Rattus norvegicus: one gene and its partner. The protein of the gene in region 1 interacts with the protein of each later gene in a pairwise test. Links are inferred from orthologs where the notes say so. Each region holds a gene or a part of one and is shown on either strand. Other genes may lie near its edges.

Region 1 (9,936 bases):
GGGTTCAGTCCCCAGCTCCAAAAAAAAAAAAAAAAAAGAGAAAAGAAAAAAAAGAAAGAAATTTATTCTAAGTATTGTAATTACTACCATTTCATTTTCAGAAACTAAATTCAAGCTCCCAGGCCCTAGGGAAGCTAGGGACTTCCCAATAGCTGAATAGCTTCTGTGTGAACAGTTGTCTGAGTTCTGCTATCTCAGGGACAACTTCTCCATCTTGCTGGTGGGGTCAAACAAGTTTGTGTTCCCAGTCCTAGGAACAAATGCCTATCCCACTTCTCCAAATGTTTTAATTGTCTGCTGTTATCCAGTAAAAAAAAAAAAAAGAAAAAAGAAAAAAAAAGAAATTGCTGTTATCTAAACTAAGGTGTATAAGTTATAAAAATACATAACCAGTCGCCTGTTATGCCCTAACTCCATACAGCTGACCCACTCCTTTGTCCCCGTATCACTCTGAGCTCTGAGGCTAATGTCAAGGACAATGAATTAAGGACCTTGAAGCCAGGTGCCCTGGATACAGCCCAGTCTCCAATAGGTACTCCCTTGCTTAACCCATATTGTCAAAATGCAATTGGATAACACTGAGGCTCCCCCCAGCTCCCTCCTGGCTTTGCGTTCCCATTCTTGAAAATGCAATATAGCTTCCCCTCGGGGACATAGTTCAGATCCTCAACTGGCCACCTCCCTGAGTGCTCAGAAAATAAGCTCCCATTTTTAAGCCTCCATATCTGAAGTGAGTTTTCTTGGATTCTACCCTGAACCCAACACTAGAACTAGGGATGTAGCTCTATGGTTGGGCACATTGTAAGTACGTGTGAGGCCCTGGGTCCCTAGTACCACAGCTGCTTCTTGGCCATGTTTGGGACTTCCTATCTGCAGGACAAAGGAAAGGTTAGGGACTATCAGAGGTTACTGAAATGGATATTTCTGGTTTCTTTGGAAGCTCAGTTGTGTCACGGGATGTTTCTCTGGGATCTGTCTTGTGAGAGGTTATGTGACATTTTTCTGGAAGCTGTCTAGTGAGAGGATGTTTTCCTGAAACAGACACAGGAGAGGACGTTTGGCTGAAGCAGACACTTGTGAGGGTGCAAGACGTTTGAAAGAGTCTAAGATCATGAAGTCACACAGATCATGAAAGGATGCTCTTGCACTGTTATGCCTTGCAACGCTTCCCTGGTCTTTGCCGGCCTTCATTCTGTAGAGAGAAAAGCAGCAAGGAACTTCTCACGGTATTCCCACTGATACTTGTCGTCTCTGCTGACTCATACCGACTCTGCACAACCTCGAAGTTTCTGCTGGATCGAGCCGCTGCTACTGATTCATGTTTGCTGTTTGCTATTGGACTGGACTGCTGTTACCCTGGCAACAAAGAGTGGAAACGCCCCCAAAGAACTACGTCTAAACAGGTTCCACAACTCCCATTCCTATAAGCCTTCTTCTTCCCTACCTCTCTGGTCAGTGGGCTAGAAGGGGGATTGAAGCATTCTAGAAGCCTAAATAAAGTGGGTTTAGAAAGAACTAAGAACCTACAGGTCATTGTCCCCGCTTTCCATGAGGGAAAGCCTCGCCTCAGGACAAGAAGAGTCATGTCTAGAGGCTCTGTGTTTCCAGTCACAAAATAAACATAAGTAGGAAATTTGAACGACCTGGCCTGACAAAGGCAGTGGGACCAAGGTTCAGATTACTCAGAAGTGAAGATTCAGGCCGTCCCATGAGGAAGACAAGGTGGACCACTGGAGGGCTCTCAGGGAGGAGAATGCAGAACAATAGAGGGAAGGCATTACAAGGATCATTTAGGGTTCTGGATGGACAAGCACCACCTATACCATTCTATACCATTTGTCCTCTGGCTACCCTTGGTTTGTGTTTTTGGTTTTGTTTGTTTTTGAGACAAGGTCTCACAGTATGGCTCTGGCTGACTTAGAACCTGCCGCTATGGAAACCAGGCTGACCTCCACCTCAAGATCCACCTGCCTCTGCCTCCCAAGTGGTGGGATTAAAGGCATTCACCACGATACCCAACAAGTCATTACATTTATTTATGTATACACGTGTGTGTATACACATGTACACATACATGTCACAGTACACATTGGGTCTGGTTGTCCTTTTCTTGGGAGTGTTAGTATGTATATGTGTGGTGCGTGTGTGTATATGCAGGTGCACGCATCCGTCCATGCACTCAGAGACCAGAGAAGGCTATCAGTGTCCTGCTTCATAATCTCTGCCTTATGCCTAAAGACAGAGCCTCTCAGTCAACCTTGAACTAAACTCATAGCCCCAAAGCCCCAGCAAAGCCCCTGGTCTCCATGGTGCTGGGAATTCCAGGTATTCAGGCTTGCACAGCAAACACTCCTACCCGCTGGGCAACCTCTCTGCTTTTTGCTTGAGATAATAAGGTCTGGCTGTAGAGCCCAAACAAGCCTTGAACTCCAGATCTACCCATTTCTGCCTCTGAGAGCCGAAATTGCGGCTATGTTCTACTGTTCCTAGTTTTTTTCTTTAAGATGCTATAACCAGCTAGTAGCTTAAAGTAAGGCCAGTTGGAGGGATGGGTTGGGGGGAGGGGGAGCACATGCCTTTATCCCACTACTCGAGAGGCAAAGACAATCAACTCTTTGTGGATTTGAGGCCAGCCTGGTCTACATATTGAGTTCCAAGTCAGCCACAGTTTCAAAAAGAAGGGGGGTGGGAGTGGGGAGGCAACCCTGCGTGTTTACCACATAGTGCTATAAACTGCAAGTAGACAACTTCCCTTCCTACAAGACTTGTAGGTGAGACTTGCCTTGGCTCTCACCTTGGCTCTCACAGGTCTGTTTAAACTTAAACTTTTTTTGTTTGGGTTTTTGAGATAGGCCTTATGTAGCCCTGGCCGTCCTGGAACTTACTAGGTAGACCAGTCTGACCTTGAACTCGTAGAGATCCTCCTGCCTCTGACGCCCAAGTGCTGGGATTAAGGGTGTAATCACCACTCAGACTCGGAGGAACATTGCAACTGTTTTAAGATTTGGGGGATTCCTAGAGATATACTGAACACACCAACTAACTGATCTAAGTTTTTTTTTTTTTTTTTTTTTTTGGTTCTTTTTTTCGGAGCTGGGGACCGAACCCAGGGCCTTGCGCTTCCTAGGCAAGCGCTCTGCCACTGAGCTAAATCCCCAACCCCACTGAGCTAAATCCCCAACCCCCTAAGCTTTTTAAAAGAACATTTAGTGGATCATTATGCTTTAGAGATGAAGAATCACCCCCAAATCTTGTAAGTTAAAAGCTTAGCATAGCAGGTAGACCACTGGGCTTCCTTGTCTCAAACTTCTCCATGTTAGCTTCTTGTTACTTATCCACTACCTAAGACTATTTTCTGCAGTGTCTTCAAAGTGACCTGCTTATTCCTATTCCAGGTTTAGGGTGTTTGACCTAAGCCAGATGGCACCCACCCACCCCCCCACACACACACACACAGTTTATCTGTTAAACTAGAGCACGGGGACAGAGGCAGATGGGTCAGGAAAGAGAGCCTAGTCAGCTTCAAAAACTGGGCTCAACTCAGCACTACCACCAGCTCTTCAACCCCTGATTACTGAACCTGCCTGAGTCTCAGTTTCACCACCTTCAAATTCACATCACATCATCTGGCACCTCACTGTCATGGGTTACATGCATTTATACTTAGTACAAAGTCATTGGCATGTCAACCGATATCAATCAGTCTTCTCTCCGCAGCTCTGTTCCCAAACAGTACACACACACACACACACACACACACACACACACACACACATACACACACACACACACTGGCACACATACTCACACATACACACATACACAGGCACACACACACACACTGGCACACATACTCACACATACACACATACACAGGCACACACACACACATTGGCACACATACTCACACATATACACATACACAGGCACACATACATACACACTCACACACACTCATACACACCCTCACATACACACACTCATATACAGGCACACACACTCATACACACACACTGACACCCATACACACACACTCATACACACACACTCATACACAGGCATACACACTCATACACTCATACACAGACACACACACACACACACACACACACATGCACGCACACACATCGCCTTCCCTAAGGAACACAACTGAGACAGGGCAGGTATCTCACAAGGTCTTTATTTCCCACATTGGCACATACATCAATACAAAAGCTGACAAGCTACGAGACAATGAAGCACTGCAGAAGCAGGGCAGGCGCCAAGGCCACAGCTCTGTATGAGCAAAGAGGTGGAGAAGAGTAGAACTCTAGAAGGAAACTCACAGGCCATAGGAGACAGAGACAGCACTGGACAGAGGGTTCCCACCACCCTCACTCAGATACACTTTACGTTACACGCAGTAATAGAAACGGGGAAGGGTAAAAAACAGCAAGAAGGACCAGGTTCCAAAAGCCAACCAGGACTGGGGAAGTCCCTTTACGTGAGAGGTTCAAGGGATAGAAAGGGTCCCCCCAATAACTGCCTACCCTAGGGATGTGCGCACCCACACCATCTCAGAGCTGGGTCTGGTAACCAACCAATCTACCCACAGGTTGCTTCCACCCCCTGGGGCTCCAGCAGGCACAGCTTTGGCCCCAGTTTCAGAATGAGGGACTGGGGTTCTTTCAGCCTGTCCTACAAGAGGGGAAAGATCTATCAAGACAGAGGGAGAACTGCTGACAGACATGGGGGTGGGGGTCCTGTCTCAGAGGAAAGCAAGGAAGGGTCGGACTTGGCCAGGCAGTGGAAGGAGGGGTCTCGAGCTGTCTGAGGGTCTTCTTCAGGCTGCTGAGAAACAGCAAAGCCAGGAAGAGAAGGGGGTGAACCGGGAGACAGATCACCCTCAAACCCAGTCAGCCGGGTCAGGAGACAACAGAAAGCCACCGCTAGCCGTTACTCAGGTCTCCCGGTCTCCCGTGGTCAGCCACGGGTGTGCTGACTCAGCTTACAACCTGCATGATCTGACTGTGCTGCAGCCAGTGATGTTCCACTCACTGGTGCCCCCCAAAAATGGCAACAGACCGACATGAGGGAGGCTGCCAAAGCTTCAGGTGGAGCTCAAGGACGGGAGCAGGAGGAGGTGTGGACGGCAGTGAGACCAGGCCAGGGTTTCAGTCCTCAAGAGACACCGGCTCAGATCTGCTCCTAGCTGTATGACCTTGGCCAAGTCATCTCAGATCTCTGAACTTCAGATTCCTCTTCTAATAAATGGTGCACAATCACATCCACCCACCCACAGGGCCAGAAGACGAAAGGAGCTAACACAGAAAGAGATCCAATGCTAAATCATCTGATTTCACGGACAGCATCTCCTAGGAACTGGGGTTTCCAGATAGGCAGAGGAGACCCTGACCCGCCCCTACCACCCTGCGGGAGCCCCACACTCACCCGGGGGATTGGTCCAACTGTGGCCTTTGCTGGCAGAGGCCTTCGTTCCAGGCCTAGGTGGCCCCAGAAGGCCCCTCTTCCTCCCTGGCACTGGGAGAGTGAGTGGCCCTGTCCTCCTCCAGCCTCTGAGAGTCCTGGGTCGGCACTATGGGCTGCTGCTCCACGATCCCGCCCCCCATGTTTGTTTGCTGCTGCGGGGCTGGGGAGTCTTGAGGGTAGAGGAATTGGGGATAGGGAGAGGATGGGCAGAGACAGGAAGTTGAGGTACAAAGGAGTGTATAGTCCAACCCTGATTCCCAGTTCAGCCCCCCCAGGAAGAAGGTGGATGGATAGCTGGACTTGTAAGCAAATTTTGCATAAATAAACACTGAGGCAGCAGTTCTAGCCAAGGGGGACTGGAGGCAAGTATGTAAATACTATGCAAATAGTATGCAAAGTCCATGCAAATCAGCACACCGAGTGGGACCAAGGTGAGGTAAGTGAGCCCTTGGGGGTGGGGGGTCTCACCTACTCTCACCTCTCATAGGGTTGATGATCGGTAGCTTGTCCCACTGGCAGGAGGGTGTCCTCTGCGGGAACACTCACCTTTCGGGACCACCTTCTGCTTCTGCTGCCGCTTAGAATGGGCGTCCTGCCAGTTGGACAGTTGCTGGAGGACATACTTCATGTCCAGGTGTGAAGGGCCCAGGCCGCTGGCCTCCAGGGCAGAGACCACCACATTCATCCTTGTGGCCTCGTCCACCTCCGGTTCCACCTCCTCCCAGGCCTCGGTCTCCTCAGATGCCTGCTCTGTCTCTTCTGCCGGCCCATCCTCAGCTGTCCCCACCTCTTCTATGGCCCCCAGCTCCTCCTCAGGAACCAGCTCCTCTGGAGCCTCGAAATCTTCAGGCGGCTTGAGATCTTGCACCGGTGGGGGTGGCATTGTCCCCTGCTCCTTCTTTCGTTCCTCTCTGCAGCGAGTGTCACATCTAGGCAAGGAGACAGTGACGTCTTTCCTCACGTGCCACCCCACTCTACTCCACAGACCCTGACAGTCCCCCTCGGCTGCCCCAGCTAGGAGTGAGGGGAGAGAGGATCATTTTTGAGACTTCCAAAACCCAGCCATGCCTGCCCCCAGCAGGAGGAATGAGGGTTATGGACACCAAAGAGGTTCCTTCTTCTCCACTTCCCTGTCTGGAGACGAGCAACTGGGATATTTCATCCCAGAGCAGTTGTCATAGAAATAAATCCATTATAGTAAGGCTTGGATGGGTCAAATGACTTGCCCAAAAGGACACAAAGGAGCTAAACGGGGATTGGGTATCGGGTATTTTAATGGCTGGGCTGTTCACCTCTCAGATCATAGTCAGGTGAAGAAAAGAAAGGTGAAGAAAAGGTGAGGCCTGAAGGGAGAGGGCACAGCCGTGACCAAAATACCGAGCAGATGAGCTCCCCCAAGAACACAGATTTCCCAGAGTTTTCCAAACACAGAACCCACAACAAGTGGCTGTGAAGACAGATGTCGGGAATCTCTTAGTCAGGTTACCCCAGGTCTGATGTCTTCCCCATAACCATCTCACTAAATCCTAAACGGAGAACAGGACCTTGGGTGTACTAAGGGGGCTCAAACTGCAAATTCCCTGGGGCATAAACATATTGAAAAGTCACAGGGAGCCAGGCATGGTGGCCCCAGTCCTGGGAAGGCAGAGGAAAGCAGATCTCTAAGTTCAGGGCCAGCCTGATCTACAGAGTGAGTTCTAGGACAGCCAGAGCTACGCAGAGAAACCCGATCTCAAAAAAGAAGAGGAGGAGGAAGAGGAGGAGGAGGAAGAGGAGGAGGAAGAGGATGAAGAGGAAGAGGAAGAGGAGGAAGAGGAGGGAAGGAAGGAAGGAAGGAAGGAAGGAAGGAAGGAAGGAAGGAAGGAAAAAAGCCAGAGCCAGGTAGTGTGAGTGAGGCAGGATAAGGAGGCCAGGAAAAGCAATGGAGGTCCGAACATTTGTGTCAACCATGTTCCACTCAGAGAAGGTTGGCACTGGGTGAACCTAAGTGAGCATGGCTGAACAGAGCAAGCCTGAGGATCCCAGTTCCTCACCTCTCCATGAAATACGCAGGGTCAGTGATGAACTTCCTCAGGGATGTCCGGAGCTCCTCCGCCAGTGTCTCTGGGAAACTTGGAAGTGCATCCTACAGCAAAGAGGGGACACATTCCACCCCCACACTCACAGAAAAAGCAGGGCTGAAACACGGGACACACTGAGGTAAAAGAGCACCCTCACCAGAGGCACACTGTATCCATAGTGGGTGACAGAACCTGCAGGCATTGAGGAACGCTGACGATGGCTCTTCCCATCCTCCTGGCGTTCACGAGGCCTGCTTCCATAATCCTGCATGTGGGAGCCAGCTCGCAGGCTCTGTCAGGATCAGGGGTTTCCAGTCAGGTACTCTGCTTGCCCTTGCTTTAGGCACAGGCAAAGACCCCAGTTCCAGACCCAAACAGTGCGATTCTGGGTGACCCTGGACAAGATCCTGATCTCTACCCCATTCAGGCCTCAAATAAGCAGATATCTGCTGGGCCATAGGCCAGTGAGGGTGGAAGGCAGAAAAGCTCTTCCTGGAAGTTGCTTGTCTTCTCTGGAGAGCCAAGTAGTCCCCAGGGACCTGCCTTCCAGATCTGGGAACCATGGAACCTCACCTCTGGGTGGACTCCCTTCTCTGAGGCCAGCTGCTGCTGCAGTTTCTCCGTCTGGGCCCCATACTGGAAGAAACCGTAAAGTGTGAGATGGCCCCAAGGCCTCCCACTCTGGTACCTCCTACCCGAACAGTCTTCCCTCATCAGAGTCTCTGACAGTCCCCCTAGGAAGTCACAGGGATGGGAGTCTTAAAGTGGGGGGTCATGCAGCCTGGTTTTGGGAGCGTGTAGGAGTCTCTCTGTGTGGACTTGGTTAGGGACATGACTGGGCTGGATGAATAGCTCGCTGGTTATCTCTGCCAGCTCTGATGCCTACACAGGGAAGGGCTTTGGGCCTGGCTGAGCAGCTTACAGACTGACAACGCTGTTGTAGCTTGGTGATCTCGGCCTGCAGCTGAGTGATCTCCTTCTGCTGCCTCTCATAGCCTTCCAGCCTCAGCACCAACACCTCGGATAGCTCTGCCATCTGCTGGCTGGCTTCAGCTACAGGACAAGCACAGATCAGCGGAGGCTCTAAGCCACGGATCCGACACCCCTCAGGGGTCCTGAGGGCCTTTGACCTTCTTCCCCCAGGTCTTCTTCTTCAAGAACCACTTATTGAAACAGAGCAGGGGACTGGGGGATGTCTTGGTAAGACCTGATCCTTGTCCACACCAAGTTCCAGCATAGTAGAAACAGGGGAACTCGTAATTCCAAATAGTATGAGGTACGATGAAGCCAGTGTCAAGGGAGGAGCAGAGGAAAGGGTCTCACAGGTGGAGCATTGACCAACTCAGTGCTGCAAAGTCTGGGAGGGGTCCTGGAAGGAGCCACTGGCTCTGTAAGCCCCACCACATAGAGAAAGAGACACAGAGTATGGGCAGTGAGGTGGTGGGGCAGGGCAGTGAGCAGGGACCAGATCACAGTGGTGGGGGAAGGGGCTGGTTGAAGTTATCCTTGGACCGATGGGAAGCCATTTTGGAATTTTAGTCACATTAGTGATGGAGCCCGATTTGGCTTCAGAAAACTCATCCTGGCTGTGGGAAAAAGGACCTGGATGGGCAGAGAGACCCCATCATACATTATGAGGTGTCAGGGGCTAGAGACACGGAGACTGGCCAGCTGTGGCTTGCGGGGAAGGAAGGACGGAGATGAGATACAGAGACCATAAGCTAAATGCTGCCCCTGTGAATCTGCACCTCAGCAGGTAGGCTTGAGGCCCTCAGAGGCTGACAAAGGCCAAGTTGGTGTTCAGACCCAATGTGTGACTGTGAACTGCCCCGGCCCTAAATGCCCAGGCTCTGACAGCTCCTGGCTCCCCCCTCACTGTCCTGTCCACCCTCCCTGCTTGTACTGTCCCAAATAATAGACAGACTTTAATGATGACCTCCGCAGCTTCTGCATCGATCTTACTTCCTCAGTACCTGCTCTCCCCGCCCATCCCCTTCCCTCCAGAGTCGTCAACACCTGACCCTCCCTGAGATTACATGCGTGCAGTGCATCTCCATGCTCAACGGTGATGCTTCTCCTGACCCTCATAAACCCTGAGGGGATGAAGAGCAGGCCGGGGTTATCAGTCCTCATTGTAAAGATGAAGATTCAGAGAAGCCGAGGAATTTGGCCGTGCTAACACAGCGGCAAAGTGCCGGAGCCAGGACTGCATCTCCAGACCCCAAACCCTGAGTTCTTCCTATCAGCTCTTGGGACAGCGCCCTTTCCCCGGATTACAGTGTCACGTACAAAACTGTTCCACACACTCCAGAATGAGCATCTGTTCTTTGTCTTCCAGGTTGTCAAGGTGGGAGGCCTGGAGGAAGGGGAATAGGAAGGGGTAAGGCCGCCACCATCCCCCCCCACC
Region 2 (9,227 bases), on another chromosome or scaffold:
AGGTGAAACCATGAATAACTTTTTTCAAATATTACAGCTATACCAGGTAGTTTGGGGGAAGCATTCATGAAAAGAAAAAAGACATTTATGGAACGATCCTACCAGAGACAGAGAGAGATCTGGAATAAAACTCCGCTCCCTCAAGCCAAAGTATCCAAAGAGAAGCTATCTACAAGTATGTTCTACTGTATGATCTACAGTAGAGATTTAAGTATTTAAGCTTAAGTATTTTTTAGACTCAACCCATTAATCACTGCTTTTCAGGTTCATCCTTGAGCCACCTGAAAGGTTAGTGTCAAGGAAGAAAGGCTACCTGAGCCCTCGTGTACCAAAAGGCTTTTTTTGCTTGCTTCTAGTGTTTTGCTACATGTGCCTATCTAATTACACAAATTTCTCTTACAGAGGCTGTTAGTGGAGATGAAACAGCAAAGAGAAACAGGAGCCAGTGTATATAAGTATGAAGACAAGCTGTTTTTCTACAGAAAGCACAAGTCAAGCCAAAAATACATACTGACTTCCTACAAATTGTGTTAAGGGTTCTTTTTTAATGTATAAAATTATTTATTGTCAATAAATTTTTATTTAAGTGGTTGGTTTGATTTCTTTGCTGTCCATCCAGGCACTCTGAAAATAGCCCTAAAAGAGACAAAATGAAATTAATGATAAATTGTGATTCAGGGAAATGCATGTTATCTTCTCAGAAAAACAGCACTATCACAAAGTGCATGGTCTGCTCTGTGAAGAACATCAATCTTTGGTCACAGCGTTAAGAGCTTTTGGTTTTACAGCCACCAAGCCCTCTTTGAAATGACCTTCGCTACCCGCTTCCCATACACATACCTTTCCTCAAGGGCATCCAGTTGTGCTTTTTATTTTTAGCCCTGCATAATAAGAACATGGGAGTAATGGGATGAGTAGTCAGTATTCTAGAACCATCTACATATAAAGTAACAACTGGATAAAGATTTGCTCAAAAAATGTTCCCAACAGGTTAAGTGCTACTCAAGTAGCATATGGAAAACCTAATGGGAATTTTTCTTTATGGTCATGTCCACAGCAAATGAGAAACTGCATTCTAAAAGCCTTGGTAATGACCATTGTAAAAATAAATGGCTATTACTTGCCTCTTTTATCTGTCTTTTCCAACAGTCATTGGCAACTTCTAAGTTCTTAGCCTGTGGGAGAAAATATGTTTCAAAGAATTAAAATTTTTAATTCTACATGATGCCAGATTCAAAGAATATTCCCACAGTTTAGGGGAGTCAGTCAGCAGGTCTGCATACACAGAATCTATCTACCCAACACAGATGTTCAGAAAGGCTACTTTCATTCAGCCCATTCAGAGCAGTTGAACATTTTGCCCATCATCACAACATCATTTATGGTAGTACTGTTTTTTTCAAATCTTAGCAGTGAATTTCAGTATTATCATCTCACAAGGTTTCAAAGTCCACATCTTACCAGAAGATTTGTGGATTTCTTCAATTTACTTTAATTTAGGGACCCTTCTTCAATTAGCTTTAAAAACCTGTAAGATTGGTCATAAGAAAATATAAAATGAATTGACATGTCTTCACTGGAGGGTAGTAGACAAATGTTGCAGGTCTCATTGTCACCACTGTCATTTAATCTGCTGTGATGGAAGCATGACCTGTATCTTAATGTAGCCACATTGACACTGGACACTGGCCAACAACAATGCCCATTTTTATGTACAATGAGGCTTAGTTCTTGAGTCTCATACGTGTCATCTACTCAAGTAAAGACAGCTAGAAACAGAAAAATGTCTTACCATTTTAAGGTAGGTTTCCCTTGTGACGCCCTAGGAAGAAAAGGAATGGTTCACTCAGCAGGCAACCAAGTTTTAAAGACCAATTATTCCCCAGAACCCACATCCAGAAGAAATATGTACATATGAAATAAACTGTATCATTAGAAATACCAGGTTTAACATGCACAAAGCCAAGAAACCAACGATGCCAGATAATGAATTTCTATCGCACTGTCTTTTGAACACCCAACAGGAAAGAACTGCTGAGTGCAGATACCATGCAGTGCAAAGTCTCTATAGCACTCTCAATCCCTGTGCTAATAAAGAAGCTAACTTTTTAAATGTTAACATAAATTCACATTCTGAGGGGGCTAAAGGTGGACAGGAAATTTAGAGTTCCATCTCAGCCAAAATCCCCCACAAATGGAAAAAGTGCTCAAATCAAAAGATTTAATGTTCTTTGTACATACATTCATGCACACATACTGATGATTGATTACCTTCCTTGATCACACTATCCACCTTAGAGTTTCTCACTAAAGTCAGAACTTCCAGATTCAGCTACCGTATCTACCTGGTTGCTACGGTTTTGAACTATATATCCACTGTGCCATTTACCTAACCAAGAATTTTATTTTCTGAGAAGTTTCCCTGCTTCCCACATCAGACTCCTATAATTACAGGTGTGGAACTAGTACATGGTTTCTTTTAAAAAGAACTCAATATCCCTACTGAATGAGCATTTCTCTAATCATTTTAATCTGGAATCTAAAAGATGAACTAGCCTAGCACAAAGTACTTTTTTAAAAAAGATTTATTTATTTTATGTCTCTGAGTACACTGTCGCTGTCTTCAGACACACCAGATCCCCATTAACAGATGGTTGTGAGCCACCGTGTGGTTGCTAGAATTTGAACTCAGGACCTCTGGAAGAGCAGTCAGTGCTCCTAACCACTGAACCATCTCTCCAGCCCAAGAAAGTACTTCCTAGCTTGTACACACAGAGCAAATGTTCTTGCTGAGAACTTACACATTACCCCTGGAGATTTTTAATTTATCATATTAAAACCCAACAGAAATCTAGTTTTATACTTACTTACCAACATCTCTGTAGAGTCTTTCATGTCCATTCCTGGAGAACAGTACATATGACTTTATTAGAAACTACAGTTAAAGTTTACTCCAACCTAACACCTGTAACCAGTTCTGTCAGAATTAAATTTTAGTTCATGTCTGTATCATACAGCAGTTGAACAGTTTAATTCATCATCTGAACTGTAGCTATACTTCCCCAAAATTGCAGAGTCACTAAAACTCACCTAACACTCAGAATCCTAATCTTTATGAAGGAAATGCCAGTGCTTCTAGAAACAAAACCAAAATTGCACATCAGTTTTGTACTTTGTTAGCTGTCTTGTAGTTCCTTCCCACAGACCTAACAAACAGTCCTGCGAGTCAAGCAAAACCACAAGTTACTATATGAGGCGTTTCCAACGATGTGTGGCTACTAACGAAGCCCCATCGGGATAGACCTCAAAAGCATCCAACAATCATGAAGCTCTCTCTCCAGCTACCTTTTATGGACGTCTATTAATAGGAACTTAGGAAATCACAAAGTAATCTCAGGAGATTTGCCTAGCTTAAGCTTAAGGTTATACATTCTTACAGTCCGGAGCTCTCAAACTCACTTTTACTGTACAGGGATTTTAATCCAGCAACATGGTTACGCTGGCTGGAATACTGACATACCCTTAGCACATACATAACTAGAAACAACCCATGTTCAAAAGAAGTCTAATTGAGTGGCAGACAAAATGACAGATTTAAAGACAGGTGCAGAAAGAACAAGCTAGACACAGGTAAATACAGAATATGCCAAGAGAGAGGAGCCCAAAATATCAGAACAAATTGCAAGGTAGTTTGAGGCAGAAGTCAGACTAAATCAGTCACCTTGTTAGAGTATGAACCACAACAGCTTTGTTAAACCAGACAAAAATTCAGTAAGAACAAGAAAAGTGTGAGATTATTTATTCAGCAGTTAAGTCTCAGAGGCTGAAAACATTCTAGGCCTAAATCAGATTGTGCAGAGGCTAGAAGCTTCCAAGACTAGGCCTTCATTTAGCAAAAAGGCAGTAAGGCTCAGAGACAATTACATCAGGCAGATTAAAGATAATTTAAGTGCCAGCATAAAACTGAATTTTCATGAAGAGCCTTATGGGCAACCTGATTTTTTAGAATAGTACCTATTTTAGTTAACTCATACTTTTCAAACATTATTATTTGTGATGTTACAAATTTGTTATAATTTATAAACCATGCTTGAGAAAAGTTTATAATATTATAAATTGAGTATAAGACCTTATAGCCTTCTTTACTTATCTCAGTTCAAATTATTGATTCTAATGTTCTAGGATTTCCTAAGGATTGGAGTACTCTAAAACTTTCATAGAAATAGCATCACTTACTTCAAGCTAACATACTGTGAAGATGTAAATTGACATGCTACTTACAACACTGAAACAAACATCCATTCATGGGCATCTTTTAACTGACTTCAGAATGAAGGCAAGCCTTTAAAGAAAGGAATATTCATCTATCATTACCTTTATAGGATAAATCACACAGAACATTGCTAGAAACAGCCTCATCAGTAACACCGTTGTGCTTATATTCCTTCTTGTATGTATCAAAACTCATACTGAACAATGAGTTCTGGGTTGCAAAAGAGGATTTGTTTTTTGCACCTGTCAACCTGCCTTTGTCCAACAGCTGAACAAAAACAAACACAAGTGCTAGCCAACAAAGCTGTATGTATATACTGGCACAAGGCCAGTGTTACAAGGTAAGAACACTCTTGTAGATAGAATTGTGGTTCAGCTCACATCACCCCCACAATAGCTAATTACCATCCTGTAACTTGAGATCCACAGGCCATGGTGCATACTCCACACATATGCATGTAGGCAAAATACACAAATATGAAGTAATTCTTTTTTATAAGTTAGTTTGGGCTAAGCACTGAAGAGGCTGGAGTTCTTGAAACTAGCCACATATAGGATTTTTGTTAGCATTTTCCTTCCAGAAAAGTCGTACTTGCTGTAATAGAATAATCCCTATAGGAAGGATTTCTTACTCTGAAATCAGCACTGAAAAGAGCTTTCCCAAGTGTTTTGCTAGCTCCCCCCAGCAAGTTTATTTTCTTTCCCAGATTGTTCAGTGATTTTTGTTCCTTCATCTTCTTGACATACACAAGACAATCCCGTGCTCTTTACCTTCCTCGATACTCACATGTTCACCTCCTTTCCAGGACCTCCTGTTCCCTCTCTGTGTGGCATCCTTGGCTTTGCTCTTTTTAGAGAATGCAGATTCTTTCTTAATCTTTTCTTGTTCTAAGTTTCTCTTCCTTGGGAATTCTGTACTTATTATAAAGCAACTGTCTTCCTGCATTTAAAAGAAAAATTAGTAACTAAACTCACCACTGACTGTGGGTTAGTATAAATCTTTTTTTTTAAATTTATTATCTATTTATTATATACAGTGTAGGTGCTTTCAGAAGTGGGCATCAGTCCCATTACAGATGGTTGTGAGCCACCATGTGGTTGCTGGGACTTGAACTCAGGACCTCTGGAAGAGCAGTCAGTGCTCTTAACCCAGTACTGAGTCATCTTTCAGCCCACAAGTATAAATCTATTCCTCACTACACCAGCACTATTTTCTCATTTGACTGCACACCAGACTTGCTAAATGTTATTTTATCAGGAGCTAGAGATGGTTCAGTGGCTAAGCACACTGGATTTTCACAGGGCTAGAGAGATGCCTCAGCAGTTAAGTAAGAGCAGTGGCTGTTCTTTCAGGAGTCCTGCCTTCAATTCCCAACAACAACATGGTGGCTCATAACCATCTGTAATGTGACCTGGTGCCCTCTTCCATTAATCAGGTATACATTCAGATAGAACACTCACACTTATAAAAACAAAAATACAAAAATAATCCACAACATTGTCTTCTTTTCTTACTGCAAAGGACTAAGAAAATTCTATGCACCCACAATGTGCACCAAAATTCCAGTTTAAGGGATCCAACTGCACCTCTTCTAGCCTACCCAGACACCAACATACACCTGGTGAATTTTTAGTGTTAATATTGGAGCCAGGCACGGGCACCATTTTGTAAGCCAGTAATAGCAGAGCAAAAACTTTGCTATAGGTTAATCCACTAGGTTGTGGTCAAGAGGCCAGACCAAATTCTGGACTCCATAAATGTATACTCATACCAACATGCAGATACATACATACCCTATACACAAATATTCAAAGCTTGAGTTATAACTCAGCAGTATGCCTTGTCATTAATGCAGGCAAGGCTCTGAACCCCAATACTTGGAGCTAAGAGGAAGAGCCACAAAAACATAAAAAGCCCTCGGTACCAAATATCCTAAATAGTAAGCAGTTTCACTCTTAAAAGTTTAAATGAGGGGCTGGGGATTTAGCTCAGTGGTAGAGCGCTTGCCTAGGAAGCGCAAGGCCCTGGGTTCGGTCCCCAGCTCCGAAAAAAAGAACCAAAAAAAAAAAAAAAAAAAGTTTAAATGAAATTTCCAAATAGTATATAACTTCTACATTCCGTAAATGAGATAATAAAACTCGGCCACTTACAACCAACTTAATATCACATTCAGACTGAGGATCTGTTGCTTCATCTTCAGTTCTGTAACATGAAATGAAATGAGCCATTTAGTCATTAGTCACCTAGTATTCGGATATCGCTGAAACCAAAGAAAACCACTACCTTCCCAAACTGATGTCCTATGCACATACCTCAGAGTAAACAATCCTAAATTTACTAGAAGTTATGATTACTATTGCAGAATCTTATAAGATACTCATTTTATAGATGGCACTTGCCTTTAATCCCAGCACTCGGTACATGTGTGTTCAGCCCTAGCCAGCTATACAGTAGTGAGACTGTCTTTAAATGAGCTTAGAGAACTACAAGTTCCATGGACAAATCCAACTTACGACGGCTCTTCAATAGGAGAAAGCGGACCATCATCATCCATGTACTTGTGTCTACGGCTGTCAAAGTCTTCCTTTTCTAAATCTTCCCCAGCATGCATTTGGCTCAAGCATTCCTTAAGGTGGTGTTCATACTTGAGTTTTTCAATGTGGTGAAAAAATCCTCTTGCAACTGCTTGCTGCAAGTTAGAAAACACAATTCCTTAAATATTAAAACATCAAATACTTAATCAAGCTTGACACTATACCAAGGGGCTGGACAATGGCTTGCTGTTCATCAAAGGGACCAGATCTGAATGCACAGAAACCATGTAAATGCTCTGTGCATGACGGTTCCAGACTTGGGGAGTGAAGACAGTACATAGGAACAAGGTGAATAGGAAGATGCTATGTCTGCATGTGCACACACAAAGAAAAACGCAAAGCAGACACTAATTCAACCATTCTAATCATTTAACATTTAATGCTCAAACACCTGAAAAACCTGAGTAGCTGGCTACTTGGGTTTTCTCCCCTGCTCTTGTCCTAGTTAACCTAACTGTCAATTTGACACAGAATAACCTGAGAATGGATCCTCAACCAAGACACTGCTTTATTTTTGGATAGTGGTTGCCTAGATTGTGGGCATTACCATTACAAGCAAGGGCTCTAGGCTAACAGTACACATGAGCAGCAGCTTCCTTCATGGTCCTATTCTCCACCTTTCTTAGGTTCTTCAAAAACTGGGCCTTAAGAAGTGATTCCATACCTGCTCACCTTGTAATGTCACGTTTCACTACTGCTGAAAAAAAAGTTGGGTATGATATGCTTCAGTTGTTTGAAGGGACTCTGTATAAGGAAACTTGGAGTACAACTACCTTAATCTGTGTGACACTGATAAATAATGGTTGTGGTTATTTCTCTCACTAGTGATACAGGTGAGATGAAGAATGGAGCACTTTGCATAGATCTGTTCCAGGTGTCCCTCAGACAATTAAGAATGGCCAACAAGGGCTGGAGAGACGGTTCAGTGGTTAAGAGCACTGACTGCTCTTCCAGAGGTCCTGAGTTCAAATTCCAGCAACCACATGGTGGCTCACAACCATCTGAAATGGGGATCCTATGCCTTCTGGTGTCTGAAGACAGCTACAGTGTATTTATATATAATCAATCTTTTAAAAGAAAAAAGAATGACCAACAAACCATTCCATCCTACTTAATGTATTCACCTACATTAAAAAAAAAAATCACTCACCTCATATGTTAAAATTTTCTTCCAAGGTAAAGTCTTTCTTCCACTTTCAGATTCTAAGAATGGAAACACAGCTCCTTTGTCTTTAATTTGTTTTGCATCTATTTGTGACCTTCTAATGTTCCTCGTTCCAGATGGTCTTCCTTGTCGTCTTAACTTTGGCTTATATTTTCTCTTTTTCCTCTTTTTCCTTTTCTTTTTCTTAAATCTTTCAAAAATAGCCTTTAAAGTCAAAGGCCTTGGTTCTAGAGAAGAGTCACTTGATGAATCTGTTTCAACACTTGCAAGTGAAGGAACACATTTCACAGTAGGGATTCTTTGCTTTCTTGTAGGTGAAGGAACACACTGTGTTTTAAATAAGCTGCTATTGGATGAGTCATCACTAAAACAAAAGTTAAATTGCATTACTGAATTACCACTAGATATAATTAATCCCCCAGGAGTGGCAAGGCCATTCTCCCAGGCAGCTCACAATCATGCATCCCTTCAGTTTCACAGCTCCCACACCTAAGAGCACCAGAATAGACACGCAATCCACTCTAAAAAACATGTTAAAAGTACATGTTCCAAGTACAATCCCCTAAAATCATACCCAGCATTTCAGAATGAACTCAGTACCAGTTAACCACCGTGTCCTTACTATTTTATATAAAACAAGACAGTTTTTTAAAAAGATTTATTTATTTTATGCATATGAACACACTGTAGCTGTCTTCAGACACACCAGAAGAGGGCATCAGATCCCATTACAGATGGTTGTGAGCCACCATGTGGTTGCTGGGAATTGAACTCAGGACCTCTGGAAGAGCAGTCAGTGCTCTTAACCGCTGAGCCGTCTCTCCAGCCCCACAAGACAGTTTTTTTAACGATTAGTCAAGCTAATAATATGTTAATCTTCAGCTTTTCCATGTTTTATGGACAAGCAATACAAATAAAACTCCCCAGCACTCAAATATGCTGGACTGCAGGGTGTGGTGACATGCCTTTAATCCCAACTCTTGGGAGGTAGATAGGCAGGATTATCTGGGTGAGGTCAGCCATGGCTCTATTTATTGAGACCCTCCTCAAAATAAATTGAACATTTGGACTGAATCTATAGTTTACCTACCTTTGATTTCCAATGTCCCCATCTCTATCCGATGTCACACAGTCAACAGAATCCACCTCTGATTGAGCCATCACTTTGCTTTACCCAGTTTTCTGCAATTACAAA

Evidence for each region. The genes of interacting proteins can lie anywhere in the genome.
Region 2: the proteins of Hap1 (region 1) and Taf1d interact in a two-hybrid assay, tested with the Homo sapiens proteins (2 studies listed by BioGRID and IntAct). The link is inferred for Rattus norvegicus from reciprocal best matches to the Homo sapiens genes HAP1 and TAF1D.

Annotation. Positions count from the first base shown.
Region 1 is NC_086028.1:85,774,106-85,784,041, forward strand, and holds the end of Hap1 (huntingtin-associated protein 1), read right to left. Parts: intron 9,886-9,936; coding exon 9,819-9,885; intron 8,583-9,818; coding exon 8,452-8,582; intron 8,166-8,451; coding exon 8,103-8,165; intron 7,822-8,102; coding exon 7,687-7,821; intron 7,595-7,686; coding exon 7,503-7,594; intron 6,399-7,502; coding exon 6,016-6,398; coding exon of another isoform or gene 5,951-6,015; exon of another isoform or gene 5,639-5,950; coding exon 5,484-5,638; 3' UTR 5,431-5,483; exon of another isoform or gene 5,301-5,430; 3' UTR 4,162-5,300; downstream 1-4,161. UniProt on the Homo sapiens protein: Originally identified as neuronal protein that specifically associates with HTT/huntingtin and the binding is enhanced by an expanded polyglutamine repeat within HTT possibly affecting HAP1 interaction properties.
Region 2 is NC_086026.1:20,429,331-20,438,557, reverse strand, and holds the end of Taf1d (TATA box-binding protein-associated factor RNA polymerase I subunit D), read right to left. Parts: intron 9,215-9,227; 5' UTR 9,194-9,214; coding exon 9,123-9,193; intron 8,397-9,122; coding exon 8,018-8,396; intron 6,963-8,017; coding exon 6,787-6,962; intron 6,476-6,786; coding exon 6,424-6,475; intron 5,213-6,423; coding exon 5,060-5,212; coding exon of another isoform or gene 5,003-5,059; exon of another isoform or gene 4,365-5,002; intron 4,343-4,364; coding exon 4,316-4,342; 3' UTR 3,763-4,315; downstream 1-3,762. Other genes in the region: Cep295 (centrosomal protein of 295 kDa), read left to right, coding at 38-175, 265-288, 403-455. UniProt on the Homo sapiens protein: Component of the transcription factor SL1/TIF-IB complex, which is involved in the assembly of the PIC (preinitiation complex) during RNA polymerase I-dependent transcription.